Oryza sativa Japonica Group: one gene and its partners. The protein of the gene in region 1 interacts with the protein of each later gene in a biochemical or structural test. Links are inferred from orthologs where the notes say so. Each region holds a gene or a part of one and is shown in the gene's direction. Other genes may lie near its edges. The genes, in order: transcription factor MYC2-like, protein TIFY 9, protein TIFY 10b and mitogen-activated protein kinase 1.

Region 1 (8,142 bases):
ATATTTAACAATAAATCAAATGATAGGAAAAGAATTAATAATTACTTAATTTTTTTAATAAGATGAATGGTCAAATATGTTTAAAAGAAATCAACAGCATCGAATATTTAGAAACGGTGGGAGTATCTTACTATACCATTCAAGGCTAGTGTGGTTGGAGTATAGTCTGGATGTACGGGCGAAGCTAAATACCTGAGCACGAGCACGTACATAACTCATAAGTGGTTTCGCAGGTTCGTTATTTGGAGTGAGCGAAGCATTTTTTTTTTCCGACCGAAATGAAAAAAATAAAAACAGCTTGCATGTGCTCGGCATAAATCAAATATAAATTAAACAACACTCGAATTATTATTCATTTTGAATAGCGGTGTTGATCGATCATTCCAGTAGGGAAGGGCGTGGATAGGGACCTGTCCGGCACGCCGGCCACGCTACACCCACCACCTCCCATGTCGCGATTTTATTTGATTCAAATCACGGGGATTAATTTAAAAAAGCACAAGGGGCAAAAGCACGCTTCTGCCCTCGCTAAACACGTGAACATGGACGGCCCAGATTTTCTGGCAGGTTTTAAATGATAAGATCGATCCCCAACTAGCACAGTAGTTTATCATTCCTGTCACTGCCTCGTGGGCCTCACCTGCCTTTCCTGCACGTGGCCCAACTCATCGATCGGGTCAACGGTCAAATCGGGCGGCTGGGTCACTTGCTGCTAGCGACGACGAGGCTAGAGTATTTATATAAGCAACCCAAATCGTTGTTATATCTACTCTCTGCAGCCACATTTATTAGCCCAGTAGTTACAGTGACCTGAGTAACACCTTAAAATCCTAATTTTAAGTGAATTTTAGATTGGATTATTTGGGAGCTAAATTCCGTACTTCATAGGCTAAGTTTTTAATTTAAAATTACTGTATATATCCAGTTGGATGTAGAGGCACACTTCTCTTAAAAAACTCTCTGCAACCACATGTGCTAAGCTAGCTTAATTAGCACTAATACCACTCTACTTACACATGCAAACATGTTTATATTAATACACCGTACTATTTATATACTCACTCCGTTCGTAAATATTTGACGCCGTTGACTTTTTAAAACATATTGGACCGTTTGTCTTATTTAAAAATTTAAGAAATTATTAATTATTTTTCTATCATTTGATTTATTGTTAAATATACTACTACTATTCAAGTTTTTGAATAATATTTACAAAAGTTTTAAATAAAATAAACGGTCAAACATGTTTGAAATGGCCAACAGGGTCAAACGGGAGGGAGGGTATAGTAGCACAACTTGTGTGTTACGGCCCTCGTGGACGCACATGTACAAATATCTTCATCATGCACGGGCACGATAAAAAAGGTGCTTACTAGGAACAATTTACTTATTTTTTATTCTTCCTTTTGCACACAAATTTTTCCCCCCAACTTGTCTAATGTACTTTGTTGGAAGATATACAATACATATGTATGGTATGAGTTAAATATGCGCCTAAATTTGCCCACGTCAGAATGTGGAATGGTGTAACTAATGACTTGTGATGGTGAAACAAATTAACAACCCCTATTAGATAATAGTACTAGTGTACTACAATGAAAATGAACTTTTACCACTCTTACATCGATCTCTTTAAGAGCATTTATGCGCCGTAATTCCTTTCCATCTTAGAGCAAGGAACAAGGATAATAGCGAGTTATAAGTCTACTATAATTTTACGTGAAGAAGGTATATAGAAAAAAAAAGGTTAGCTCTCATACAAGAGATAGTTCTAACACGTGCCCTAACACAAATACATTAAATGTATCATTGAGATAAAGACAAAGAGAAAAATTAAAGCTATAACCTTATAACTAATCTATTATATGTGTTGGTTTTAACTTTTAATATGGACTATTTTTTCCATTTCAAATTGATCATCATCTTACGTAGATGTACCAAGACCAAAGGAAGCTTCTCTCGTCCTATATTTACTCCAGTAACAAACTTGGTGTATGCATCATCCCCATTATTCTTAGATGCATAAATCAATATCCATTTACTCTAATGCACAAAAACGAATATACTTAATGAATGAATGCAAATATGATATCATTTAGAAATAACATCAATAAAATTATATGATGATCAATTTAAAACGGATGGAGTAACAGGTAGCAGTGAGTTATACTTATGAAACTTGCTCTTATGAAAATAACATTGCTGTCAGTCAATTGATCTTTTTTTTATGACAATAGTACAAAACTGCCCGCAAGTTAAGGAAGGGGAAAATAGCCTTAAGGCTTGAGTAACTCTTGATAATGATAGAATTCGTCTTAAACTTAACCATAGGACCGCATGAACCTTCTGGGAGAAGCACACGTGATTTTATATTTTTCTTCAAAGGAATACGATGTGATCCACAAAGTCCTAAAAAGATTTAGTAGTAGTATAAAACATTGTCAAAATTCGGATCGAGCGAAACATATGCTCCACCACTGCCTCCTAACATGTAATGTAAAATCTACAAAGATAAGGGATCGTAAAACACTTCCCACGAGAGGAAAGCAGGGAGAGAGAGCATGGTATGGAGGGGAGGACGCTGACATGTGGGATCGAGCGAGAGCGGAGGCTGATTACCCGGAGGGAGGTTACACAAACAGGAGATAGGAGGGTGGTTGCGGCGGCTAGGCGAGCGATCCCATAGGCCCAAGCCACCATGTGAGCGCACCGATGATCCGAAAATCGCTCTTTCAAATTCTATTTTTTAATATATATTTTTAGATTATCATTATTTTATAACTATTTTTACTATAAATTATACTAGATAAATTCATCCTAAAGATGTCAAAATCTTTTATAAATTTTTTTAAGATAATTATAAAAAAAATTTATTTAAAAAACCTTCTGTTTTTTTAAATAAAGGTCTATATATAAATTCACGATATACAAAATGCATGCAAACTTTCTATTTATAAACTTTATTATGTATAAATACTCGTTATTTCAGGGAGGCTGAAAAGAAAATTAGTATATACTGTACTTTATTATTTGCAGTATACAAATCGTGGAGGCTAATCACGGAATGATGCGCATATGCATGATTTGTGTGGAAACATGCATACCACACGTTGATAGCGAAAAATAGGAATTGCGGGCGATTTAACATGGTATGGCTAAAAAAAGGAAGATGAGTGAAGCGGTGATGGTGCGGCTGGCGGACGCGCGAATGATCGCTAATTAGGAGTGTAGACATAGGAGGAGTGATAATACCGAAAATACCCCTGGACACTAAATATGATTTGATTTGAGTGATTAGCCATGGGACCCATGTGGGTTTTGTTATCTCCTCTCCTCACCACCAAAAATCCATTCCACCCCATACCCATCCCCACCTTTCCTCTCCTCCTATTCTCTTCTTCTCTTGTAGGAGTCCTCTTCCAAATCAAATCAAATCTAGAAGAAGAAGAAATCGAGATCAAATCGATGAACCTTTGGACGGACGACAACGCGTCGATGATGGAGGCGTTCATGGCCTCCGCCGACCTCCCGGCCTTCCCGTGGGGGGCGGCCTCCACCCCGCCGCCGCCGCCGCCGCCGCCTCACCACCACCACCAACAGCAGCAGCAGCAGGTCCTGCCGCCGCCTGCAGCAGCTCCGGCGGCGGCGGCGTTCAACCAGGACACGCTGCAGCAGCGGCTGCAGTCGATCATCGAGGGGTCTCGGGAGACGTGGACGTACGCCATCTTCTGGCAGTCCTCCATCGACGTCTCCACCGGCGCCTCCCTCCTCGGCTGGGGCGACGGCTACTACAAGGGCTGCGACGACGACAAGCGCAAGCAGCGCTCCTCCACCCCCGCCGCCGCCGCCGAGCAGGAGCACCGCAAGCGCGTCCTCCGCGAGCTCAACTCCCTCATCGCCGGCGCAGGCGCCGCCCCCGACGAGGCCGTCGAGGAGGAGGTCACCGACACCGAGTGGTTCTTCCTCGTCTCCATGACCCAGTCCTTCCCCAACGGCCTCGGCCTCCCCGGCCAGGCCCTCTTCGCCGCCCAGCCCACCTGGATCGCCACCGGCTTGTCCTCCGCCCCCTGTGACCGCGCCAGGCAGGCCTACACCTTCGGCCTCCGCACCATGGTCTGCCTCCCCCTCGCCACCGGCGTCCTCGAGCTCGGCTCCACCGACGTCATCTTCCAGACCGGGGACAGCATCCCCAGGATCCGCGCCCTCTTCAACCTCAGCGCCGCCGCCGCCTCCTCCTGGCCCCCCCACCCCGACGCCGCCTCCGCCGATCCCTCCGTGCTCTGGCTCGCCGACGCGCCCCCCATGGACATGAAGGACTCCATCTCCGCCGCAGACATCTCCGTCTCCAAGCCACCACCCCCGCCGCCGCACCAGATCCAGCACTTCGAGAACGGGAGCACCAGCACGCTCACGGAGAATCCCAGCCCGTCGGTGCACGCGCCGACGCCCTCGCAGCCGGCCGCGCCGCCCCAGCGGCAGCAGCAGCAGCAGCAGAGCAGCCAGGCTCAGCAGGGCCCCTTCCGCCGGGAGCTCAACTTCTCCGACTTCGCGTCCAACGGCGGCGCCGCGGCCCCGCCTTTCTTCAAGCCCGAGACCGGCGAGATCCTAAACTTCGGCAACGACAGCAGCAGTGGCCGGAGGAATCCGTCGCCGGCGCCCCCGGCCGCCACCGCCAGCCTCACCACCGCGCCGGGGAGCCTGTTCTCGCAGCACACGCCGACGCTGACGGCGGCGGCGAACGACGCCAAGAGCAACAACCAGAAGAGGTCCATGGAGGCCACCTCCCGCGCCAGCAACACCAACAACCACCCGGCGGCGACGGCGAACGAGGGGATGCTGTCCTTCTCGTCGGCGCCGACGACGCGGCCGTCGACGGGGACGGGCGCCCCGGCCAAGTCGGAGTCGGACCACTCGGACCTGGAGGCGTCGGTGCGGGAGGTGGAGAGCAGCCGCGTGGTGGCGCCGCCGCCGGAGGCGGAGAAGCGGCCGCGGAAGCGCGGGCGGAAGCCGGCGAACGGGCGGGAGGAGCCGCTGAACCACGTGGAGGCGGAGCGGCAGCGGCGGGAGAAGCTCAACCAGCGCTTCTACGCGCTGCGCGCCGTGGTGCCCAACGTGTCCAAGATGGACAAGGCGTCGCTGCTGGGCGACGCCATCTCCTACATCAACGAGCTCCGGGGGAAGCTCACGGCGCTGGAGACGGACAAGGAGACGCTGCAGTCGCAGATGGAGTCGCTCAAGAAGGAGCGGGACGCGCGGCCGCCGGCGCCGTCGGGCGGCGGCGGAGACGGCGGGGCGCGGTGCCACGCGGTGGAGATCGAGGCCAAGATCCTTGGGCTGGAGGCCATGATCCGCGTGCAGTGCCACAAGCGGAACCACCCGGCGGCGCGGCTGATGACGGCGCTGCGGGAGCTGGACCTGGACGTGTACCATGCCAGCGTCTCCGTGGTCAAGGACCTCATGATCCAGCAGGTGGCCGTCAAGATGGCCAGCCGCGTCTACTCGCAGGACCAGCTCAACGCCGCGCTCTACACCCGCATCGCCGAGCCTGGCACCGCCGCCCGGTAACTCAACTCTAGCGAGGAAACCCAATCGATATACTCTCTACTCTCCCCAAGCCGGCGTAGCCATGGCCAGAGCTTCAGGAATGCCAAGAAGACGACGAGACGATGATCAAATCATGTTGTTGTTGTAAAATTAAGTTTAAAGATCTGTGTTAGGATGGATGGATGGATGGAGAGGATGATTGATATCAACTCGCAACTCAAGCTGAAGCTGCTGCTGCTGATCGTCGTCTTGTTTTTGATACTGATAGCAGCGGTTGGTATTTCTTTTCTTCCTTTCTTTGTTAGCAGGAAGGAAGGAAGGGAGGAAAGAAATCATCGGCGATATGTTGGTCCTTGTTAATTACTAAACCTAAATATGATAGACTTTGTATATAGGATTTGGTATTGTACCATCATCATGCCAATGAACAAGGGAGGAAGGAAGGAATACAACATGTTGTGGTGTTTTTGATCTCGTAAAAAAAATAAAAAATGCAATGGATATGCTCTTTTTTTGCTTGATCAATCAACTCTATTATCTCATCAGCACTTTAATGTTTAGCAACTGCAAGCAAGGAGATGAGGAGGAATGGTGGTTGGTTGGTTGGATGGATAGTTATTCATCCTGTTCATGTCCTGCCATAGCCCGTAATGATCCATCTCTTCTTCAACGGAGAGCAGCACGGAGAAGACGACCTGCACACACATGATGGGGACATGGTCTTGCAGCACATGTGAGTTGGGTGGGTAGATCTCGCCATCACAAACAGGCAGTAGCACAGTACGATTAGCGACCGAGGGAGAACTGAGAAGCAAGCAAAAAGCAAAGTAGGAGCTGCTCTTCTTGGCTTGGCAGCACAAAAACGAAACAGACCAAAACAAAGCTGGATGTGCGTGTGAATGATAGATCATCAAAGCTAGGTTTAGGGCACCCGCAATGGTTATCTATATGCTCTCTACAAGATACCCATGTCAGCATATTTTCCTATATGGAAGAGATTAAATGAAGAGAGAGAGCAAATCTATCTACTAACTTGAAGATAGTCTATAGAAAAACGAGGCAATGCATTAGATAGCTATAGATACCTATGTAGATATACTATTGAGGTGGTTTATTATTAATTTAATTTATTATTTAGGTATATATGTTTTATGGAAAGCACCTTAGTGATGAGAGATAAAATGAACGTTGACATGAAGGACATGGCAGGCCAGGACCAACCAACCAACCCACCTCATCCATCCATCCATCCATCCATCCAACAAAACAAAGCAAATCAAACGCAACAAGAGAGATACTGTACTAGTACAGCAAAATAATGATAATTGATTTTTTAATTTGGTCCGTGGGATGGGGCAGAAAAATGCGTGGGTGGCGTGCGGCTTTTGTTATCGCGCATGTGACTCGTGAACAAACGGGCCATCGGTGTCGACAAAAGTAAGTATCTGGCCCCAGCTCGCTCACTCATCACTATTCGCTCTAATCTCCACATGCGTTTCAACATGTCTTGCTCCAGTAGCTCCTTTTCTTATTTTTATTTTTTTATTAAAATTCTTTGCCTGTTGAATTCTCGTAAGCAAACAGCAAAGACTAGAAAACTCCTGTTGTTTATGCTTGTTTCGGGTTGATGATTACGCACGTTTTCGTTAACAGTAAAATTAAACAAGTAATTAATACTAATTCTCTCAAATAACAAGCACCAGTGGTCTAGTGGTAGAATAGTACCCTGCCACGGTACAGACCCGGGTTCGATTCCCGGCTGGTGCAAATTCGTCTTTTTTGCCACGATTTCAGTACAAGCTTCGCTCAATTATTGGTATGAGCATGTGACAATCAGCTAATCTTGTCTGCTTCCATCTCCAGAAAAGAAAGCCGCCATCAATTTGGCACCCACTGTTGATGCCAGACTGATATCTTTGTAAAGAATGACGGTTAGTGTATTAAAATCCTATAAATTCGTTTAGACTTTTTGGATTAGCATTTCAGCATGACATTGACTGGTACCCCTAAATGTCAACCGACAACCGGCACAATTTGATTAAGCATCCATCAATTCATTTCTCTTCTAAAAAGGAGAAGGCAAACCGCACCCAAAATGAATCGATACACATTTTCAGCTTGCATATTCTATGGACAGGTATGTTACAGTGTAAAAAAAAACAAAACAACAATATGCTTTACATTCTCAAGAAACTAGCATGAACTCGACCTCTATGTAATGGAAAACTGTACAGGCTATGTACTGGCACTGCAACGCAGGCCTCCTGCCCCAAGTTGCGAGTAATGTATGGGTGAAACTGTATTTTGCTGTTGTAGCAAGTCCCCTTTGTGGCGCTCTGGCCTGTGTGCGAAATTGCTAGGCCAACCAAGCCAAAGAATAAAACTTGAAATGATCACACCGCTAATGATCTGAGCTTAACGTGGTTCATTTCGCACGCTATGAATGCTGATAAGAATGCCGCCCACTGGGATTTGCAGGAGCCGATGGTAGCGCTGGAGCTGTAGAAGGTAGCCGGACCAAGGCAGGCTGAGGTGGTGGTGCAGTAAGGGCGTAGGTCAGTCTTGACGATGAGCTCTCAATGAGCCCTGCAACTCCAG
Region 2 (7,984 bases), on another chromosome or scaffold:
CACATTGAGGTTTGAGCTTTAGGATCTTAATTGCACTTAGTGGGTTATAATTTTATAGTAAGAAGGGATAAGAGTAGAGGTAAACTAGTATATGTTTTTGTTTTTCTCTAAAAAAAATTTGAAGAGTAATCTCGATGGATATTTGAGCGTAGGAGTAGGGCTAGAGATAGTGGTATTTGAACCTACTGAAGATGATGAAGATAAAGATAAGTGTTTCACGTAAAATGATGTGGTAATAACGTGTGATTAATTGAGTTTTAATTATTACAAACTTAAAAAATAGATTAATCTAATATTTTAAAGCAACTTCCATATGAAAAGTTTTCGCACGAAACACACAGTTTAGCAGTTTGAAAAGCGTGTCACAAGTATCCAAAATTTCATCAACTTCTATATCTGCATATGTGTGATGTCACCCTCGGTTGTCCACCCATGCATATGATGCTTGATTGTCGATTGCATGCACGCAAGGGAGCTACCATATCTGATCGCAGCATGTCCAGCGACAAGTTAGAGTTTATTTACTCAATCTAATCTTAATTTCTTAATCTAAATATAATCACCTTAATTTCTTATGCGGAAATAAATTGATTCATTGACCTTGATGTGAAGCCATTTAAGCCGATGATCTAATCCTTTTATTTTTCTTCTTCTTCTCTTTTCTTTTTCTTCTTGCGACATACATCACGAATCCTTTCCAGTGATAAAATTGATCGGGCGATTGAATTAGGGCTTTAGGGTAGAGAGGATTCGGTGAAGTCGCCTTTGCCTCTTCTCCTCTTCCTAGACATAAGGACATTAGTGGGGTCCGGGGGTTTATTTCCAAATAAATTTAAATCTATTTTGTACGATCACACATAACAGATTTTATCTCTACTTTATTTCTTGTTAGGAAAATAAAACCGATGGAATTTAATTCTTTTCCTAACTAACCAATAATGAATTGATAAAATCAACCAACATGGCCATCAGGACGAATCAATTGACCAAATCCTAATAGCCTTCCCTGAGTCGCTTCAGTTCTAGTGATTGATCCTCAACACTATTGGGCAACCTTATTTCCTGGTTACGACGAGTTTTTCAATAGTTTGGAGGTGTGGCCGTAGAAATTAAATCAACAAGCATCGACACCATTATTGTTTTGATAGCATGGTCGATTTGTAATTAAAGAACACAATAATATATAGGAGTCTTCAATCACTAATAATGCTTTTGTCCAAAGTGGTGACTGGTGAGCACGACAGTTTAAGCTGTTTGGGTGGGAGGGCCTTTCACAGAAATATAAGTCCCTCCATTAGTTTCTCTAAAAAGAACATAAGTTTCTCTAGAAGGACATGTATTCCTATCCCTCCATAGGGATTTATATTTCCGTAAGAGGACTAATAGAGCATAAGAGCTAGGCTGCACGGGGGTCCTCAGCTACCCGCGGCTAGCTAGCACACATAATGGTTGATAGTCGGTCGCAAATCAATACCACAAGACATAGGCCTTGTATCCCTTTTCGATTCTTTTCTTTATTATTGTAACTTGTTGTACAACTTATACATATATTCTCTAAAATATTTGTTGTTAAATGGCTAAATAACCGAATGATTTATGATAATTAAACTGAGTGGGCAAACAAACGAATAAATATATTATATTTTTTATCTATCTATACCTAATTAAAAAATCTATAAAGCTTCCGGTAATACTTTTTTGTCCGTCTTTTTTTCTCTTTTCTTGGCTGTTTTTTCTATCTTTTTTTTTCTTTTCTTGCTGTTTTTATTTTCTGATCCTTTTTTGTCCGTATTTTTCTCCTCTTTATTTTTTTCTAGTTTTTCCCGCAGCAGTTTTTCTGCCGCCGCCTCGATCTATCTTCTTGTACCTTTTGTCCTCTTATTGATTGTAAAAATAGATCCCTACTCATTTCTTATTATTTTAATTTCCTTATGATTTTCCCTTACAATTTGGCTTTAATTCACCGGATCTAATCTCCAGCCGCCGCCTGGGCTGAACCCTAACTGCGCCATCACATCGATCTACCTCCCCTTACGTTTTCTCCTTTAATTAATTGCAAAAATTGATTCCCCATCCTTCCCTCATAGTTTCCCCCATGATTTTCCCTTTCAATTCGGTTTTAATTAATTCGTTGGATTCAATCTTCGTTTAACTGTCACCAATAATGACCGACCGACGAGCTTCCCCATTCCATTTTTATCCAGAGTTTTACAGATTTGCTCTGTTTTTGGGAAACAGAAAGAGGAGATCGAGTGAATCAAAATCCCTTGGCCAGGGAGATCAAAAAAGAATCAGCTGGATTTTTATGGGAGGGCACACAAGGATTCTCTCCCGAAGGTTCAAGACGGTATACTGAATGACATTGCCAGCTGTGATAACTAAGTATTTGTGGACTGGACGAAAGAGAGGCAAGCCGAGCAGGAAGAGATAGGAGACATCAGACTGTGCTAGGGCTAAAAAGGAAAAAAAAGTAATGAGCTTTCGGCTCAAAACGAAGAAAAAATTTTGATTAACATGTTTTCAATTATAGTGTATAGCAATTATAATGTTTCAAGCTATTGCTCAGTTCATAATAGAGTTGTTATACCACTAAGAAAAATGTATTTACCTGTTGCAACGTATTGATATTTTTTTCAAGTTAATCATAAAAATACATTAGCGTTTGTAAGCTTTCTAAAAACGTGCGGGTTAATCCATCGTTTTCATTGGTTAGAAAAAACGAATGGGCGCGGGGCCTCTTTTTTTTATACCCCGCGCGCACCTCCCAACCCAACAAACACCACATTTTGCAGCTGCTTCTAATCTATACGTGTTCTAGCTAAGCTAGCTAGCTAGCTCTCGTTCTCCGGCCATGTCGACGAGGGCGCCCGTCGAGCTCGACTTCCTCGGCCTCCGCGCCGCCGCCGCCGACGCCGACGACCGCCACGCCAAGAGCGGCGGCTCCTCCGCCTCCTCTTCCTCCTCCATCCGAGGTACGTGACGTGACGTCTGTCGACGTCGCCGTCGATCGATGATCTCATCTCACCGCCGCCGGCTAGCTCCGTGTCCCTCTCGATCGATCTGAGTCGATTGCTTGCGTTGCGAGAGCAGGGATGGAGACGAGCGCGATAGCGAGGATAGGGCCCCACCTGCTGCGCCGCGTCATCGCCGCCGCCGGACCTCCGCCACCGCCGTCGACGGCGCCGGTGCCGGAGGAGATGCCCGGCGCCGCCGCCGCCGCCGCTCCGATGACGCTCTTCTACAACGGTTCAGTCGCCGTCTTCGACGTCTCCCACGATAAGGTGTGTAATATACATGAGTAAATTATATTGGTAGTATATAAACTTGTTAGCTGGATGCAACTTAGTGAATAAACTTGTAAAATGCTTATTTCGATGCATGAACTTGTCTAGTTCGTGCGAACGAGGACTAAAATAGCTTGGCAATGTTCGTTTTATAAAGCTGATGTTGATTAGGATGTGACGTGCATATGTGTAGTGAGTATATATAAGATATGCAATATTTATAAATTTCGTCTCTACTTTATTCTTCATCATGGAAGTGATGAATTTCATATATTTCTAACCCTTATATCATTGCTTTTTTTAATCTTTTTTCTACAATCACTATATCCATTCTATTTTTTACTAAAGAGGTGTATTTCTAATAGCAAATCTTCACGTATATATGTTTACATGGTATCCTAATGAGCCCCTAAATTAATAAGATTAACCAGGTAGTGTCCTTTTTCCTTCCTCCGCACGCACCAGACAAGTTTATGCACCAAAACGAGCATTTTACAAGTTCGTGCACTAGATTGCACTCACCTGACAAGTTCATGTACCGGCGATGCAATTTACTTAATATATATTTATCGTCTAAGTTAATTAATCACAAATTATTAGGAGATTATCCGCGATTAGTTAGTTGTTAACACAGTAATATTATATTAATACTGTCGTCGGAGATAGAACGGCCAGCGAACCGGGGCACCTGTTGAACACTTGTACCTTCACCTTCACAGAACGCGTGTGATTACAAAACTAACGAAACTCGGCGCGTTACTGCTGCGAGAATTATGTATAAAAATATTATAAATAATACCCCTTTTGTTTTTTATTATATGTGATATGCTGTTGACTTTTCATTGATCATTCATCTTATTAAAAAAATTTATGTAATTATCATTTATTTTATTCTGATTTGATATATCATCAAATATTCTTTAAACATGATTTAAATATTTTTTATATTTACATAAAAATTTTGAATAAAACGAATGGTCAAATATTTGTAAAAATTCAATGGCGTCATATATTAAAAAATATTAAAAAATGGAAGTAGTATGTAAGATAGCTGGATGATTATTTACTTTATATAATTTTCATCTTTGATTGATCAATAAAAAATTATAAACAATTAAGATGATATGGTTTATAACAATTTAAAACATTCAAAAAAAATGAAACTAAGGTGATGTGACTTAATAGCAAAACAAAATAAAGGGGGATAATATAGATTAATTACCCAAAGACAAAACTACGATGATATGACCTTTCCTAGGAGAAGAAAAGTCTGTCCATTAAAAATCATACAGCGTTAACATAGAATTAATTTACAATCAAAATCATGGTGTAGGATCGAACTGCACCAAGTCTAAATTAAAAGAGTTCTTGTTTTTCATGCATGATGGCTGGAAGGGATGCGCACAATGATATACTATCTCCCTTAAATTAGCTTGATAGTGGTAGATAGTACAATTTCATAGAGATACAATCTTCTCAATGCTTTCCCTTTCCATATTCCATCCCTAGGCAGAGGCTATAATGAGGATGGCAACCGAGGCAACTAAAGCAAAAGGACTCGCTCGTGGCAATGCAATTGTAGGCAATTTTGCCAAAGGTTTGTTAATGTTAGTAGAATTGTTGCGAAAAGTAATCAGCAGAACAACAAAAATATGTTCTTTTTTAATCTGTTTTTTTTCCTGTGGCTTATAGTATTGTTCTTCAACTCTTCTTGTTTGCAGAGCCACTCACAAGAACTAAATCTCTGCAACGATTCCTCTCCAAGAGAAAAGAGAGGTATAGACAATGCAATTTTCATATATTTTGTTTGTCACCTAAATACACATTTTTTCCTACTCCCTGCGTTTCAAATTAATTATTATTCTAGTTTTATCATAAGTTAAGCATTTGTATTTTTTACCACCAATTTCCAGAAGTTTATATAATTTAACATCATAAGATTTATGTTTTGTATTCACTATGAGAAAACTTTCACAATATATAATCACATGTTTTTGCATTATTCAAATTTTTAGATATCAACGAACAAAATAGAAATATTTGACTTAGGACAAAATGAATGTGAAGTAATTAATTTGAAAAGAAAAGGAGTATGTATAAGTACATAGAAATAATGATTTGATCAAACCTTTTCAAAAAGAACTCAATTACACTTAAATAAAAGAGTATTAACATTTTCATTATTTCTCTCTCTAATTGGAATCTTCAGTGTGAGACTAGCTATCTACCTATAGTTGTATACTGTGGAAGCTCATGGTAGCTAAAGCTACCACATGGTGAGCTGACCGGAGACCCCAGAAGCCGTGTGGGCCCGGATGAGCAGTGCCCATCGACCTCTTACAACCACGTTTTAGTCGTGACGAATTAGTGCATGGAAAGTCTATGGGCTATGGATCATATCGACATGTGTGTGGAGGATAGCAAGTTTGCATATGCAATATCTCGATCGATTTGGTGATGATATATATATCGCAATGAAATCGATATATGGGGGCTGTACTACTTCATTGACCAACTAGCTACCGAATCAAATTAAGACTTATCGCAGCTAAAGAAGCAATAAACTAACTGAAAGCAAAGATATGTCTTTGACCACACCACACGCACATATCATTAAGGCTTTGATTTGATTGTGCTTTAAAAGATCGGTTTGGTTCTGGTTGTGTGTTGGCTAAGGTGGTGTTTGGATACAGGACTTAACTTTAGTCTCTATATCTAGACACTAATTTAAAGTATTAAATATAGACTACTTATAAAACTAATTACATAAATGAAAGCTAATTTGCGAGACAAGTTTTTTAAGCCTAATTAATCCATAATTAGAAAATATTTACGGTAGCATCACATAGACTAATCATGGATTAATTAGGCTCAATAGATTCGTCTCGTGAATTAGTCCAAGATTATAGATGGGTTTTATTAATAGTCTACATTTAATATTTATAATTAGTGTCCAAATATCCGATGTAATAGGAACTTAAAAGTTTTAGTCCCATCTAAACATGGTCTAATTCGTTTGTCCCAGACTTGAAAAATGTGGCACTGATTTCTCTTCCTTTCAAATATATATATATATATATATATATATATATATATATATATATATATATATATATATATATATATATATATATATATATATATATATATATATATATATATATATATATATATATATATATATATATATATATATATATATATATATATATATATATATATATATATATATAACCATTAACTTTTAAACATAACATTTAACCATTCTTTTTATTAAAAAAATTAGTGTAAATACGATGAAAAATAGGTAGCCTTTAAATTATCTTCAACAACAAAATTAAGCCGCAACAAAATAATATGATACCTATACAGCATTTTAAATAATACAAATGATCGATCCAAAAGGGATCGAATAAGTGATACTTAGATAGTTTTTCAAATAAGACACATGATCAATTCGAAAGTTAACATCATCATATATTTAAAAATTTAAAAATTGAAGTTAGCCAAACAAACAGGTGTAGTAGGGTAGTGTAGTAAATTGTTGGCTAATTACCATCCTGCTCAACGACGTTGCCAGTGTCACTTTCCATCCTTTTGGGGTAGCTAGGTGTTGACCTAGTTAATACTCCAATAATCACCACCAAACCTAGCTACTTTGTTACCCACTTTAACTAACGAATATATATATATATTTTGCATTGCCTTTTTCTTTTCTTTTTTTTCATTACTAATTGATATTGAAACGTGCAGGTTGACCAGCTTGGGTCCGTACCAGGTGGGTGGGCCCGCTGCCGTCGGTGCGACGACGTCGACCACCACCAAGTCTTTTCTTGCGAAGGAAGAGGAGCACACGGCGTCCTAGCTAGCCTCCTAGCTAGCTAATTACTGTTGATTTGGTCCCCTTGATTAATCGTTTATTATTAATAATTATTTCATTGATTCCATCATTAGTAGAGGGTACAGACCAGGCAGGGGCCAGTTAATAATCCTGTTTAGTGTTGATCGATCGATAGATTAACCATACTCCATATGTAGGTCTGTGTGTAATATTGATTTATATATATAGTAGTATCTATAGTTGATTACAAGGTCATGGATTTTATGGATGTGTAAAGCAAGCTTAGAGTGAATATTGGATGCATTTATGATTTATACTATGTAGTTGTACAAATTACTCCATCCATGTGCCTGAGTTATTTTGTTTTTTTAGACTGAACATGTGCTGGGAACGAACACCCATATTATTTCGCTTATGATATGCTTATCTGTAAGGTTTATTAGTAAATAAAAATAATTCATGAGTATTCAAAAGTAAATTAACTCTAAAATTAAAATTTAAAATTCAAATTAACTCTAAAATTAAATTTTAAAATTCAAATTTTGACTTAGATAAGCATAAGCAAAACAATAAGGCTGGAAAATTTATGGTCATTATATCAGACTCTCCACTCTCATTAATGGTAGATACAACATTAGATTTTCGAAATGTTTTTGAAATACAAATAATCAGAGGATGTTTGGTAACAACGTGGAGTATCAGGTGAAACAATGTGCACTAATCTTATGGATCACGGCTATGAATTCAACTCCGTTCTATAGTGCCGATGGATGACGGATAAAAAGTTGAGTTTATAACAATTACTCGAGGACAGAAACGGTGATAGTCGACTTTTAAAAGAAGTTCACTTAAAAAAACA
Region 3 (8,029 bases), on another chromosome or scaffold:
CCTCAATCACGTTCATGCACTTCATAACTTATTATTTCACCAAAGTGTTGTACTTAAGGTTAAGGACACAATTTATTGACTAATCTCTCTGTATTATGTGTTGGTGTTACTTTCCTTTAAAGTACAATATGGGATGTGTGCACACACATGCGCTACACTCACACCACATAAATTTGGTGAACATGCACCTAGTGGTAATTCTTAAATTTGAAGCTACACTATTTAGCCATCTGGCAACAAAGGCACCTACACGTGATTTGGTGTTTGATTCTTTACTATTAACAACTGTTACATACATTTGTCAATAATCACACATGCATAATCAAAAAGTTCTACTACCTCTATCTCAGAATAATTACATTTATATCATTTAACATTTGTCCCAAAAAATTGTATTTCTGCGAACTTGGGATCCAACCTTCTTTTTAATCAAGTTTAAGAATGGTAATTATGTGGGTTTATGGTCTTAACCTTCTGTCTGTTTCACATTATAAGTCGTTTTGAATTCTTTTTCTAATCAAACTTCTTTAGATTTGATTGAGTTTGTAAAAGAATTTAGCAACATCTCAAAAAACTCAAACCTAAAGAAATTTAACTAAGAAAAAGAAAGTCAAAATGATTTATAATATGAAACAAAGTTATTTAGACTTTTCCACTCTAAAGTAAAAAGAATAGGCACGCAAAAAAAATTACTTCATCCTAACCTAGATTCAGAGGCGCCTACTGTAAATTAAAATGTCCGGCACATAGAAAATTACTTTGTATCCTCACCTAAATTCAAAGGCAACTATTTGGATCCGAAAGTCTGACAGAAAGTATACGGCAATGTTTAGATACACAAAACTTTCTAGTCACTTTTACGATGAACACGATCAGGTAAGTTCCATCCTACCTAACCTTTTGTACTCTACAAGTACCAGTCTCAAAGTACATTCATCCTACCCATGACAACCAATCCAACACTTACATTTGTTGGCACTTGGCAGCAAAACCCGACCTGAAAAATTAAATTAAAGCCAACCCAAAGCTGCTGCTACTACTAAACCACTATCAAGAAATTCAAGACGGATCATGGATTCCCCCCCAGCCAGGTGTAACCGGGTCGGGTCAAACCCAAAACCAAAACCCGACCCGACCCGGATCCGACACGTCTCGCGCTCACCGCCTCGTGCTGCATGTACCGACCCGATCGATCGCGCACATGGGGGGCGCGGGCCCCACCCGCAATTAAGGAAAAGGGCGAAAAATCGCTATAAAATAAATCCGGAGAATATTTAAAAGAGGAGGGGGAGGGGAGCAGTCGCGGTGGGGCCCACCACCCCCTCGCTCCGCACACGAACCACGTGCGGAATCCGCGCATTTAGTACTCGCATCGTCCCCCCCAGCCCGCGAAATGATACCGAATTGAATAAAATAATATTTAAAAGAAGAAATCTGTTACTCCGTTCCAAAATACAGTTACTTGTAATAACAAAATATTCTTCTATAGTAAACCTATTTATCCATCAATATCCTTCTAACCCATCACAAAGTTCACAACCCTCGTCCATTTATTTCATTCATCTTATTTTTTATCTCAACAAATCATAATATTTCTCCAATAAATTTTACTTACTTTCTTAATACCTACTACTATGTCTAAAAAAAGATAAACTTTAGCTACGAATCTAGACACGCATATATTCGTAGCTTACATACGTGTCTAAATTCGTAGCTAGAATTGAATTTTTTTTAAGACGCTAGGGTACCATCTATCTATTTTATAATTATTTACTCCATCTGTCTCAGAATATAACAACCAATGATTGATGGTGTTCATCATCTATCTATTTTATAATTATTTACTCCATCTGTCTCAGAATATAACAACCAATGATTGATGGTGTTCATCATTGGTTGCTATATTATGAGACAGGGGGAGTATATTTCTAGAACAGATGTAACTCCCTTCGTTCTAAAACGTAGTACTCTTATTATGATATAATAACAAAGTTGGATAGAGATGAATCCAGTGGTAATAATTGAGATAAGGTAAAAGGTAATTTATAAGTAGTATTTTGGAACGAAGAGAGCAACTATTTTCTCCATTCCAAATTAAATTATGGGATAAACATATCGTAATAATACTATAAATTTAGACATATTTGTATTACTACAATATGTCACATTGTGTTAGATTAACTTATTCCAGTACGGAGTACTCCCTCCGTCCCAAAAAAAAAAGACACCCTGGCTTCCATGCCCAACGTTTGACCGTCCGTCTTATTTAAAAAAATTATGAAAAAAATTAAAAAGACAAGTCACACATAAAATATTAATAATATTTTTTTATTTAAAAGAATTATAAAAAAATTTCATACAAGACGGACAGTTAAAGTTGGACACGAAAATATATAGGGTTTGTTTTTTTTGGAGGGAGGAAGTAGGTAATTAGGAGAAGAAAAAAATGGGAAGAAAGAAAATCCGCGAGGTTAAATTGAATCGAATTGAGTGGTGACCAGAAACCGCAGCGGCTGCGTCGTCTCCGTCTCCTCTCCTTGCTTATAAACGCTCGCGCACGAGCCTCTCTCTCTCTAGCTCTCGCTCTCGCAGCTCAACCACTAGCAGCAGCGGCAGGAAGGCGAGAGGAGGAATCGGAGGTAGCTGGACGGCGGCGAGGCGACGACGAGCCGGGGTGGTGCAGCAAGAACGGCGCGGCGAGCGGCGGGGAGGAGAGATTGGATCGACGCCGGGTAGTTAGGAAGGGAGCTTGGAGAGATGGCGGCTTCCGCGAGGCCCGTCGGCGTCGGCGGGGAGAGGGCGACGAGCTTCGCCATGGCGTGCAGCCTGCTCAGCCGCTACGTCCGCCAGAACGGCGCCGCCGCCGCCGAGCTCGGCCTCGGCATCAGAGGTGAGGAGGAGAAGGGAAAAAAAAAAGAACTCATCCCTTTTTTTGTGGGTGTGCTTCGGCTTGGTTGGATCTTCATCTTCAGCTTCGGTTTCGTGTTGAGATCTGATCACAAGGTTTGGGGTTTTGGTTCGGTTCCAGGTGAGGGTGAGGCTCCGAGGGCGGCGCCGGCGACGATGAGCTTGCTGCCCGGGGAGGCGGAGAGGAAGAAGGAGACCATGGAGCTCTTCCCGCAGAGCGCCGGCTTTGGCCAGCAGGATGCCATCACCGCCGATTCTGCTGCTGATGCTAGGTATGGGGCCATGCCACTTGGTTCTCTGCTTCATTTTTGTGCAGTTCCTGCTCCTTAGGTGTATGTGTGTGTGTGTCCTAGTTCTTGGAATCACGCAGAGAAATGACAAATTTTGCAGTCTACAAAACTTAGCTGTAAGTGCCTCAATAGGTTGAAGCCACTGTTTTTGGTATCAAATCTAGTTGAGGGGAGAGAGGGTTATGAGTAAACATTTTGTTGTTTTTTGCTTTGGGTTCAGATACTAATTGGAATTAGGCAAGCAGAGTTACTAGGTCATTCAGACTTCAGGGAGTTGTTAATGGATCTATAAAAACTTTACCTATCTTTGTTAATAGAAAATTTTAACCCCAAACTTAGGGTTTTTTTTTTGTTTAAACTGGGGCACTGAAAACGTAGTTTCAAAAAGAACCCTTTTTATGCTTGCCGGTGAAAATAGAGTTAGTCAGATGGTGCAGAATTGGAGGGGTGATATACTGGTATCCCAGGTGTTCATAGTGTTCTCTGTGCAAATGAATTTCAGGGAACAAGAGCCTGAGAAGCGTCAGCTGACCATCTTCTATGGTGGGAAGGTGCTCGTGTTCAACGACTTCCCAGCCGACAAGGCAAAGGGCTTGATGCAGCTGGCTAGCAAGGGCAGCCCGGTGGCTCCTCAGAATGCCGCGGCACCTGCACCAGCAGCTGTTACAGACAACACCAAGGCCCCTATGGCCGTGCCGGCCCCGGTCAGTAGCTTGCCTACAGCTCAGGCCGATGCTCAGAAGCCTGCTCGCGCGAATGCTTCTGGTAATTACTCTGCCCTTTCTTGATGTTCATGTCTGTCGGGGTATTGAACGCATAACCAGTTGAATTTTGTTGTAGCAGTTATCAAGTGACCTCTTTTTTTCTGTGTAGATATGCCTATTGCTAGGAAGGCATCACTCCACAGGTTCCTTGAGAAGAGAAAGGATCGGTAAGTTGTTTTGCTGTGATGATTTGCATGATGTTTAAGTTCAGTATTTTGATCACTGCAGTTCATGGATCTAATATGCGCCTTTTGTTGTCACAGTCTTAATGCAAAGACGCCATACCAGGCTTCTCCTTCAGATGCAACCCCAGTCAAGAAGGAGCCTGAGAGCCAGCCATGGCTCGGACTAGGGCCGAACGCCGTCGTGAAGCCCATAGAACGCGGCCAATGAGGTTGCATGGAAACTTCACCAAAGCTCTTCAAAAATATATGAAATGCGCTTGCCGTTAGAGTACCAAATCATATATGTTCTCTCATACCCCATGTTTTAGTGTTTTTTCTTTAGTTCGTGCTTCTATGTTGTTCACTTGTCACATAGTTCTGAATGTAAAGGAAAAAGGTAGTAGCATTGACGACCAGTGCCGAGAGCCTGAGAGAAGTTTTGGCATGTTAACACATGGTGACTCTGAAAATGGCCATGCTAAGGTAAAAAGTTATTGCAAAGGAAACATATATGTATCTTCTGAAATTCTGATCATCTGGCTTTGTCCTTGGCTCTAGCCTTGCTCTATGCAAAGCAAAGTGATTGTAATGGATTCAGAATATAATTCATATTCCTATTGTTGATTTCTGTTACATGGCTTATTGGCTTGGTCCTCCTCCAATATGTCTGCATTATTTGGTCCCCATTATATGTGCCTGCAGAGTCAATTTGCTCTTGGACTTTCTTTTTTCCTTTTCTTGACGCGTTTTCATTTTTTCTTAAATGCAAACCTCATTATTTAGCATAAAATAATAACTACATACACAAACTACAAACTAATGGAATATTTGATGTTCCACAAACACAATTATTAGTGATTGCCTATGAATCTTTTCTGTTTTGTAGCTATATATTTTATCATCATGCAAAGGGGATACAGGGCAGCACAGGAGGCAGCCTGGGGTAGGTTGGATGGCACTGTCAAGCTGAAGATAAGGGTTTTGCGAAGGAAGGTGCACAAGGCAAGACTTGTCACCCCATGCCCAATTCTTTAATCAAAAGATATGAGCACATGTGAGAAATTGGGGGTGGAGATGAGTTGATAGGATTCTTGTTTGACAGCTAAAGCAAAGCAAAGCATGAAGAGCAAAACAACAGGAAGCTGTTTGGAAATTGCAAAGGGGGGGGGGGGGGGGGGGGGAAGAAGGATGCAGTGACCGGGAGTCTCTGCAGTACTGTCGATATGATAATAGCAACTGACATGTGGGATCGGATCCACCTGTCAGTGATTGCTACTGAACCAATTGTACTGCGGAGGATCCATGTCCAGTATGCATACATGATACGGAGTACATACATACAAAAGACATTTTTCAGAGAGAGATGTTTGTTGGACGCATGGGAGCCCACAGTGAGCCAAGTTGCCTGCTTTTTTCTCCTTTCTCAACTTGTTTGTATTATACTCCTAACAAAAGGACTTGATGAACTAGTGCTCACATTCCTGCAACTTGCTGTCTACCAATTGTCAAATCTTTTGATTAGTTTTTTCTCTTACAGAAGATTTTGCATGCCATTCTCGATCATTCCTTTGTGACACAATTTTGTCAGAGAGCTTGTGTAACTCTCTCTCTTTACTCTTCACTGAATCAATTTCAAATTCAGGAATCCAGCCAATCTGGTCAGACTACTTCTGTTCCACGAACCGATAAAATTAACACATCTTGGCAGCTTTACAATACCTTTTTTTTTTCTTGCAGGCTTCTGCCTTGTAATTTACTCATTGATTTGCCCGGTTGATGCATGCACGTACTACCAATCGTCCTTTGTGTGTTTGAAGAATTATCAAAAGAGAAAGATAACAACAAAAAGGCACACCATGTGCTCAAGCTGTTCATGGTTACAACTAACAAAATCCGTGTGCCGTCCTCTGTGGTCCAGGAGACATGCTGCCCTTGTTTCCAGGATGCAATTGCTTGTTTAATCCGAGGCACTAATGATGGGTTTATTGGGTCCAGTAATCCATTATCCATCCAGGTCAAAATTCAGAGCGTTCTTCAGACCACACGGCCACATGGGGGGCATGAAGTGGACTGCAAATGGCAGCATGGACCATTTGAATCGAGCTAGCTGTTCATCATCTGATGGATGAACCAACGACCTACCGATGATTCAGTAGCTACCAAACAGTGGGAAAAACGAATTGGCTGTGTGACTTGCAACAGAAAGAATCCTTGCAAGAAAGAGACTGCCTCAACCTTGTCTAAGTTCTTGGTTGTGTTCTTTAATTTCTTCTCACGCAACTGTAGTGATGGATTTAGAGTTCATACCCGCACGCAAGAATGAAGAAAAAGAAAGAGAGGGATCTTGACAATCGTGGAAAACCGACCGAGAACCGCTCATTTTTCGTGAAACCATTGGTTATCTGTCGTAAAATCCGAGCGGTTTTAGCTGGTTTTTTACGAAGTTGACTGAAAGTGGTGATTTTATCGGTTTCCGGTAAACCAACAGGTATCGGTTTTTACTTCGAAAACGATAACGTAAACCCTGGTGCTACTTTGGAACACCATGTGTGTAATTGGTTTTGGGGGAAAAACTTGAAAAGACTGAAAGACATTGATTCATTCTGAAGCCATTTTAATTATTTTCAATCTGAAAAAACAGGGGGAGCATGGTAGCTATCCGGAGGCAGGGGGAGGAATCTGTCCATTGCTTGCTGCTCCTTTTTATTTCAGTAACTTTAGCCCAGGTCCATTTCATCACATGCTGATTCTTTAGAACTTTAGTAATATAATAATATGCATAGTATGATGATGAATTGATACAGTATGCTTCTACTATTCTGACTCTCCTGTTTGTGTCTGCAAAGCAATTTCTGAATGCACGCTGTTTATTTAAGCAGTGCACGCTTCCGTAGACTGGACTAAATAGGCCGAGTTTAGATCTAAAGTTTTTCTTCAAACTTCTAACTTTTCCATCACATCAAAATTTTCCTACACACATAAACTTCCAACTTTTCCGTCACATTGTTCCAATTTCAACCAAACTTTTAATTTTGGCGTGAAACTAAACACACCCATAACACTGCACTCTGCTGTTGTGTATCAGCAGTGGTTGTACAGTGTACAGTTACTCTGAATGACTGAATCATTCACGTACTATACTGCTTATCCACGGGCTTGCTGTTATTGTACTGCCTCCCATCTTTTAATTTCTTGGACATTGTTGAAAATACTATATTTTTCTTTATTAATTGGCCCGATTAATGGAATGTGGCAGTGTGTGGTTGTGGAGACGAGGAATACTTTGGATATTTCATCACTAAAGCACCCTTGGTACTTGATAAATAGCTATATTTCGATACAAAATTTGAACACGCATTGAAAATGAGAGATTATATATTTAATAAAATTATTTAAAATATAACTATATGAAACTTTTTCATAACAAATACACTAACACAAATTTTAAGTTTAAAATCCTAATAGTTTAACATTATTAATAATTCAATATTTTAAGGTTTGACTACACATATTCTTCATGTATATCATCCATTTTTAGAACGAATTAGGTGTAGTAAGAATATAATGTACTATATGACGGCCCATACTTTATTGCAAAATATATATGGATGGATATATATTAAATGTTATATAAATGATGGATGGATCTGTGTTAAAGTATTATGTAAATGATTTGAGAAATTATGATTTAGCGTGCTTATATGTTGAGTTATGTCTGTATGTTGACTCGTAAGTGTTTAGTGGGTTGATGTGACATGTTTGTAGGTTAGGTTTTAGAATATACTAATGATTGCTATGTTTGTATGTGTTTTTTCGAAATTTAGTGGTTAAAACTATATAGAAATAAATAGAAGATACGGGGTATAATCTCGTATATGTACATCTTGACGTGCAGAGGGGGAGA
Region 4 (8,067 bases), on another chromosome or scaffold:
GGATTTGAGTGTTGCTGGGGAGACTGACAGCATATCTGATACGGTTAGCTACACAGATATCTACGGGTAGGAGTAACAAATTAATCCCGATTTGTTTTTATTTCACCATTTTACTAGAAATGTCTTGATTGATTGTTCTTTTTAAGATATTAAATCTTGCTTGTCCATTTCAGCAATGTAGGATTATTCAGTTTATTTTATTGTTCTTTTACTAATTCCAATCATTGGAGAACTGAAATATGTTCATGCTCTGCACTTACAGGATTGCCAAGGATGTTGTTGAAGGCCCATCGCGGAACCTTTTGGAAGCAGTAGCTCATCGAATCGCAAGTAACGCATTGCTTAAGTTCCCTCAAATCTCAACCATCAGAGTGAAAGTTGGGAAACCTCATGTTGCTGTACGTGGAATCGTCGATTATTTGGGTGTTGAGATATTGAGGCATAGAAAAGATGTGGGAGGCGATCGTCAGGAGCTTCATTGAGCCAGCTTCGTGCCGAGGATTACATCCCATTGCTCATCATGTCCATGGCATTACTTGAGTGCTCAACAATGCATTTCTGCAGCCGTTTTGTACCTCAGTGATTTCAACTGAAAGTTAGTCTCATGAGTTGTTCCCTTCAAGGTGGCTGAAGTTATCTTGGGGGTTGAAGTAGGTATCTTGTGTTTTTTGTCCAGTCCAAAACTTTGGCAAAAAAACTTTGCTTACAGTGACTTAAAATTAGTCAGGAGGTCAATTGATACTTTGCATCATAAAACCTTCATGCTCTGGAGCATGTCCTGTGATATAGCCTTTATTTTTCATTTATATTGTGGCATGCAAATTATGAGCTCCTTTTATTATGAGCAATTGGAGCTGTCATGTGGGCCCCACGTTCATGCTTGCTACAGATATTTGATATTTTTGCACATACTGGTCAAGCCCATTGTACCCCTGATCATCATATCATTGTTGAGTGTATCCCTTTTTTGAAGACAACATTTGCTTGAGGTATCACCGCGTCTCTTTATCAAGTTTTTTTTCAACGATAGTTTCGTCATCTATATTTTGTGGAGAATTTTTTTTTTTGGAGTATAAGTTCAGTCTTGTACTTTTGTTCTTGCTAAGTAACAAATTAGTTGCTATAAGATGAACTGTTTGCATAAAGCAGGTCCTTTCTAAGGCGCAGAGAAGCTGTGAGGAAATTATGCTGCATGCTGATTTAGCACACCTCTTTAGGTTTACGGATTTGAGGTCTTCAGGTGAGTGTAGTTTGTTACCATTCATAAATTGCCCTACCCCATTGATTCTAAAAACAAATGCTTTTTTCCGTACTTTGTTTCATGGTTTCTAACTACTTTTAGTACTCCCTCCGTTTCACAATGTAAGTCATTCTAGCATTTCCCACATTCATATTGGTGTTAATGAATCTAGACATATATATTTATCTAGATTCATTAACATCAATATAAATGTGGAAAATGCTAGAATGGCTTACATTGTGAAACGGAGGAAGTACAACATATAAATGATCTGCTTGGCTTGTCAGGTTCCAATATTTCTCACAGGGTCGCTGTTTCTCCGATCTATTATTTTACAGGGTACTACAGGTTGTGGATTATCAACAATGAATGGGATCCAATGTGCAGGTGATGATTTGTCAGGTTGGCAACTTCCATTCAAAACTTTGCGGCTACATTTTTTGGTTATCTGGATGAGTTGATTGTAATGCCGTGCAATGTAATCATCAAAACCTGTGGTGGATACAACTGGCAGTGGGGTGTACAGTTTATTTTAAGGAGGGGCAGCCCTGATTGCAGATCAATTCTTACGCACGAAGGATCTTTCAGTAATACAACAAGTCTTTTTCAGTGCTATTGTTTTGTACTGAAAATTGTCCATGGTCAGCATGAATCTGGATAGATTCTAAAGAAGGATTACCGGCCATCTTAATCCATTTCCTTTTGGTGGTATTCGTAGCTGTGAAGACATACACTAGAATTATACAAAGTCTTCTCATCCAAACTCTGCAGCAGGGTTATAATTTCTTCTTCTCCTGAGGCTCTACTACCAGAGATATGACAATAGCTTCCTGCATTGGAGGTTTCCTTGAGCTTCAAATAATTCATGGTACTTATAAACTCTTTTAGCATAAACTCTCATTTTTATTTGTTAGACCTGATTTGTATTATAATTAATATCAGTGTGTTTGCGGAATTAATTATTGTCCTGTTAACTTTGTTTCCATAAAGATGCTAGAACATCATTATTTTATCTATTGCCCTATCATTTCCACACCACTTGCCTCATATATTCCAAATTTCCAGCAAGTCCCTAGTATCCATAAAAAAAATCCTAATTAATCAGGATTGCAAGACTAGATAATGTTTTGTTCTTGTCCTTATATTGAAGCATTCATCGCAAAGAGTTCCTGTCCATAGCATTCACTGTCACATTCACCGGAGGGTAGTAAAATTCTAAGCTCTGGTTCATCAAACTTTGCCTAACTCATGGTACAATTTCCTTGGAGGATGCTAGCCGCTGGCAGGTTATCTATGCGTAATTCTACATCAACACGTGCCATTGGCATTTAAAGTAAGCAGTAAACAATGTTATTAGTACTGATGCTTATTTCTTTATCTCCACTGGATCAAGAAAAAACACCTTTCTGTCTCAATCATTTGTAGGAGTATGAAGTCTTCGACGAAAAAAAAAAGTGTTGGTAGAATGACATGAGCGGGAAGATATGGCGAGCAAAAAAAAATATGGAAGAAAATGACACCATTATCTGGCGCTAGATAGCATTCGCCGCCCTCGTGTTTGGTGTTGCTGAAGCAACCACCTTAAGCAAGGATAATAGTAAACTATAAGTTTATATGGAGAAGGAAGACAAGAAAAGTACAAAGCTCTAGTCATATGCTTCAAGGTACATGCACTAAATACATAAGCAAGAAAAGGTGAAGACAAATGTTATAGCCAATCTTATACTTGTAATATGAGTTTATAAGTAGTTAGCTCTACCATTCAACTTGAGTAAAGTGCATTGGCGGTCCTTCATCTTATAGGGTTGTGTTATATAGGCCTCTAAACTCTCAAAATACATATCTGAGTCACGTAACTTATCAAAGTGTATCATCTAGATTCTAAATTGACACATCACCTCTAGGATCCTACGTGGCGTTGATGTAGCATGCCACATGGACATGATGTGTCCTTTTCTTTTTTTTCTTCTTTTATTTTTCTTTTTATTTTCCATTTTCTTCTCATTCTTCTTTTTTTCCTTTTAAATTTGTAGCCAGCTGCAGCACGAACTCTAAGACGCAATGTGTATATGACAAGTGAGATCATATATTAATAGTGTAGTATATGTTTATAGGTAACTATTGTATATATTGGCTATTAAAGTAACTATAGATAATTTGGAGCTAGTAGTTGGTTATACTAATCTTGCTCTTAGAGCAGGTACAATAGCAGGCTATTAGCCAGCTATAAACATATTTTAATGAGATAAAAGATGAGAGAGAAGAATAGCGGACTTAGATCTGTAGCCAGCTGCAACACGGACTCCAAGACGCAGTGTGTGTATGACAGGTGAGACCATATATTAATAATATAGTAAGCAACTATTGTATGAATTGACTATTATGTTGGCTATAGATAAATTGGAGTTAGTAGTGGGCTATACTATTAAACTTGCTCTTATGGGTGTAAAGGTACTAGGTACAGAGGTAGTGTTCCCTCACGCTGTCGTCACCATGACACGTCATCAGTCGTTAGGGTCGGCACAGCATCTCCATTTTGCTACACGTCCCCCCACACCCACCCACCCCAAAAATGGGCCACGCCTAGTACCCGTAGCCCCGCGTGCCAACCATTTTATACCCCGGTGGGCCACCACCCCCACCTCCACAGCCCAAGAGAAAACACACGCGAGCACACACACACCCACACACAAAAAAAACACACACAAAAAAAAAAGAGGCGAGAGCTACAAAACGAGGCCGAAAGCGACCAAATCTCGCGACGAATTCCGCCTCCACTTTCCCTTCCCTTCCTCCTCCACCTCCACCTCCTCGTCGCGATCCAAATCCGAATCCGGCCATGGACGCCGGGGCGCAGCCGCCGGACACGGAGATGGCGGAGGCCGGCGGCGGGCAGCAGCCGCCTGCTGCGGCTGCGGCGGCGGGGGCGGGGGCAGGGGCGGGGATGATGGAGAACATCCAGGCGACGCTGAGCCATGGCGGGAGGTTCATCCAGTACAACATCTTCGGGAACGTGTTCGAGGTCACCGCCAAGTACAAGCCCCCCATCCTCCCCATCGGCAAGGGCGCCTACGGCATCGTCTGGTTCGTTTGCTCCCCCCTCTCTCCCATTCCGTTGGCGGCGGCGGCCTGATTTTGGTTTGGATTTTGGATTTTGGGTTTGGATGACAGCTCGGCGCTCAACTCGGAGACGGGGGAGCAGGTGGCGATCAAGAAGATCGCCAACGCGTTCGACAACAAGATCGACGCCAAGCGCACGCTCAGGGAGATCAAGCTGCTCCGCCACATGGACCACGAGAATGTCAGTGCTCCCGATCCGCTCCATTGTTTCGACCACGGAATTCCCTTCCCCCCCACCCACCCTCGATTTTTAGGCGCAGATTTTGAGATTCTCGTTGAATGCTCTTGTCTCTGGTTAGTTAAGTTGGTTGCATTAAATGGGGAAAGGAGGAGGAGGTGAGGGTTAGGTTACCAAATGATTGAGTTCGTCACTGCTCGGCCTAATTTGGTAGAGCTTTTCCCTCCATTCTTGCTGCTGATGATGAGTGCTGCGAGCTTCAGAAATAGAGGTAACTTTGGAGATGCCTTTAAAGAAGCCATCTGCCTTTTGGGGATGTTGTTATTCATTGTGTTCTTGAATAGTGGGGGAGCGAGTGATGTGAACAGACCTGACCTGGAGAGTAGCAACATCACATGATTCTCGTACGTGCTGATGTCACAAGCCACAACTAGCTTGAGGAGGAGGAGGAGGAGGAGGAGGAGGAGGAGGACCAATCTGGTGTTACACCTTTTTCCTAAGTCAGTCAAATCCAGTCTGAATGCAGTGGGAGTGACTGCCAGTGGGGAGGGAATTAGGGGATAGGAGTACTAGGAATTGTGTTATTGTTGGAAAGTTTTGAGATTGACTTTGTGTGTGCATGTTGGACTTGGACCTTTGAAATTTACCAATTTAAAGACTGACTAATAGGAGTAGCCCACTGTTGTATTTCCTGCGTAGGCCTGAAGTATCATTTTCAGCTTACCAGAGGCAACATATTTTTTCTATGGTTAGTGGTAGAAAGACAGCCACAGGGGAAGTGAATTAGAGAATAGGCCATATCTTCATAGCCAGCCCTAGAAAAACTCAGCTTCTTCTGAAGAGGTGAATTAAATTTGGATGGTCATAAATATTCCGTTATAATTAAACTAGTGGATTTTCCCATGCAAATATGAGAGGAGCTAGATTTAAAATTAGAGTTATATTTTGTATAGAATTTACTGGTCAACCTGGACCGTTGTAATCTAGACCCACCACTATAATAAACGGGCATATATTTATCTTTTTTCCCCGATTAATGTCGTTATTCTAGGCTTCTAGATTGAACGTGGTGGCACCCTTTTGCACCCTCTTTATTATAACATAATAGATCAATTGATACTTCCCTAAAAAAGGTTCATACAAAAAGTTGCTCAGATACTGCTTTTGCTGAACCATAGACTGGTTGACACAGGCATACACAAATGCATGCTCATGCCTTTTTTTGGAAGTTTTTTCAAACTAAAACTGATCCATTTTGTTTGTATCCTACTGCAGAAAGAGAAGTGTTTAATTTCAGGTTTTAGTGCTCCAATTATGCAGGGGAGGCTTTTGGGAGTTATACCAGTTACGGGTGTTTGTAGAAAACGATCGGATTAGGCAAATTTTGGAGTAGAAGTCCTTAGATAATGCACCTGCTTTATTGCCATCAGCTAAGATTGTGTATCAAGTCAAATTCTACTTTTCAAATCTGGCTATAAATTCAATTGTATGTACGGAAAGTTGGAAACATGAGCTAAGATTTGTACATCAAGTCCAATTCTACTTTTAAAATATAGCTTGCACAAAAAATGGCTATTTTGCATTATTACATAAAACATTACTTCCAAATTGGCGATCCTGTATTCTGAAAGATGTATTGGAACTTTTTTTTTGTCATGTGCACGTGCTGCAGGTTGGCTGCAGACAGAAGGCAGCAGCCCGAGTAGCGATTTCTGGCTGCAGTATATTACTTCAATACCAAGTTATCATTTAATTATGAAGTGCACTAAGCTGTTGCTTTCTATGTACATGTAAGCTTATCTATGAGATAAAAAAACAAACAAACAAAAAAAGCCCGTGGTTAGGATGGCTTGCGGCATTCAGCTAAGTCGAGAAAAATGCCCCTGAACGTGGCACGTCACTGGGCATGCTTAACCTCACGCGGGGAGCACTCTTCTACCAGCATTAACGAGGGGGGATTTTTTTTGTGCAAAACCTGGGCTTGAGCCTTGGTCGGTGTCCCCTCTACCAGAGACTCTACCACTGTGCTACACACACGTTTGTTCAGCTTATCTATGAGATAAATTATTAGAATCCTCTACATAAGTTATTAGAATTATGCAAAGTCTCCTCCATTGCTTCCTTCTATTGATCTATTATATGTCCATCTTCGTCTAAAGCCCTTTACTAGTCACTATTCAAGTCATCATTAGCTTGCTGTTCATCCCCATTACACACTCTAATTTTCATTTTAAGGGAAATGCATGTTGGTCTGCCTCCTTAAAAAACCACCATGTTTGAGCGTTTAAATGGCAAAAACACTTGAGCTATAACATTAAGCCATCATGAATAAGATAGATCTCTTTGTCAAGTCATTTTCATATGGTATTTCCTGGTCCATGCAATATGTTTGTTCTTGCTTTGGTTGGTCTGGACATAGTTGATTTACTTATTTTATCTACTCCTATAAGATATTTGGAGCTGGTCTGTTGTATTTCACATATCCAGCAAGCTCTTGTGTTTGCACATCGATGCTCCAAAAGGCAATAACTTGTCTCAACTTCCTACTTATGTGATGCAGATTGTTGCCATAAGGGATATCATACCTCCTCCACAAAGGAATTCATTCAATGACGTTTATATTGCATATGAATTGATGGATACTGATCTGCATCAAATTATTCGCTCAAATCAAGCATTGTCAGAGGAGCACTGCCAGGTACCTTCTTCAAAAGAAAAACACAACTTTATTTCCACTTTAGCATTTATTTCATACAAATGGCTTTTCTGGTCTGCTTGGATTCTCTTGCTTGTCTAGGCCTCTGCTCAAATTGAGTTTTCAAGACCTAAAAAGTGGGAAGTATTGAAGTATGTATTGATGGTTTATAAATGTTTTGTGTAAGAACTATAAGGAATTTGGTACAAAAGGTTGAATGTAAAGCTTTTATGGTAATTTTGTATCACATTTTAAGAATTCTGCAGGTATGCATAATCTTTGAAATTAAGAAACGAATTTAGCGACCTACTAATATACCTGAACGTACCTTTGCCCTGCAAAGCATATATGCAAAGTGCTACAATTAGGTTATCTCAGTGCACCATTGATCATTGGATCAAACTAACGTTTTCTTTGGAGATACCATATTATTTGCTAACCGATATAAAATCGAATAATGAGTTGATTGCTATTTATCAGTAGACCACATACTGTTAGGAGCTGGCGGCAAGGCACCGCAGCTCCGAAGGTTGTAGCAGTGCTTGACGGGAGGGTGATGCCGATGCCCTCGCCTCCCACAAAGCCATGGTGAGGAGAAACAGAGAAAAGAGTGGCCTTATATAGGCGATTACAATCTGCTAATGAATCAGAACTAACTGAAACAAACCTCAAATCTTAAGGGATAACTCTTATCTAATGCAAGCAACAGATAACGGCGAGAACGACACTGTGGCGTGCCATGCACGCTCACCGAACTCGTGTTCTTGAGACATTCAAAGGATTCCCCACATAACACATTCAACGTGAGAAGGGTTCAATGCCCAATCACACTGG

What was found.
Region 2: the proteins of transcription factor MYC2-like (region 1) and protein TIFY 9 form a complex in vitro, tested with the Arabidopsis thaliana proteins (2 studies listed by BioGRID). The link is inferred for Oryza sativa Japonica Group from reciprocal best matches to the Arabidopsis thaliana genes MYC2 and JAZ10.
Region 3: the proteins of transcription factor MYC2-like (region 1) and protein TIFY 10b form a complex in vitro, tested with the Arabidopsis thaliana proteins (3 studies listed by BioGRID). The link is inferred for Oryza sativa Japonica Group from reciprocal best matches to the Arabidopsis thaliana genes MYC2 and JAZ1.
Region 4: of the proteins of transcription factor MYC2-like (region 1) and mitogen-activated protein kinase 1, one has a biochemical effect on the other in vitro, tested with the Arabidopsis thaliana proteins (2 studies listed by BioGRID, with this or other methods). The link is inferred for Oryza sativa Japonica Group from reciprocal best matches to the Arabidopsis thaliana genes MYC2 and MPK6.

What each region holds. Positions count from the first base shown.
Region 1 is NC_089044.1:23,546,006-23,554,147, forward strand, and holds transcription factor MYC2-like, read left to right. Parts: upstream 1-3,350; 5' UTR 3,351-3,465; coding exon 3,466-5,565; 3' UTR 5,566-6,069; downstream 6,070-8,142. Other genes in the region: dnaJ homolog subfamily C GRV2, read right to left, coding at 7,982-8,142.
Region 2 is NC_089038.1:19,857,429-19,865,412, forward strand, and holds protein TIFY 9, read left to right. Parts: upstream 1-2,805; 5' UTR 2,806-2,851; coding exon 2,852-2,972; intron 2,973-3,090; coding exon 3,091-3,281; intron 3,282-4,793; coding exon 4,794-4,881; intron 4,882-5,005; coding exon 5,006-5,060; intron 5,061-7,037; coding exon 7,038-7,149; 3' UTR 7,150-7,455; downstream 7,456-7,984. UniProt on the Arabidopsis thaliana protein: Repressor of jasmonate (JA) responses. Interacts with and suppresses RHD6 and RSL1 transcription factor activities to negatively regulate jasmonate-stimulated root hair development.
Region 3 is NC_089041.1:25,570,585-25,578,613, forward strand, and holds protein TIFY 10b, read left to right. Parts: upstream 1-2,499; 5' UTR 2,500-2,757; coding exon 2,758-2,890; intron 2,891-3,028; coding exon 3,029-3,179; intron 3,180-3,699; coding exon 3,700-3,962; intron 3,963-4,070; coding exon 4,071-4,128; intron 4,129-4,224; coding exon 4,225-4,354; 3' UTR 4,355-4,760; downstream 4,761-8,029.
Region 4 is NC_089040.1:2,969,114-2,977,180, reverse strand, and holds the start of mitogen-activated protein kinase 1, read left to right. Parts: upstream 1-3,927; 5' UTR 3,928-4,079; coding exon 4,080-4,324; intron 4,325-4,411; coding exon 4,412-4,541; intron 4,542-7,098; coding exon 7,099-7,236; intron 7,237-8,067. Other genes in the region: dihydroneopterin aldolase 2, read left to right, coding at 1-66, 263-482. UniProt on the Arabidopsis thaliana protein: Mitogen-activated protein kinase (MAPK) which regulates abscisic acid (ABA) responses in a MAPKKK20-MKK5-MPK6 cascade involved in root growth (e.g. root cell division and elongation) and stomatal response.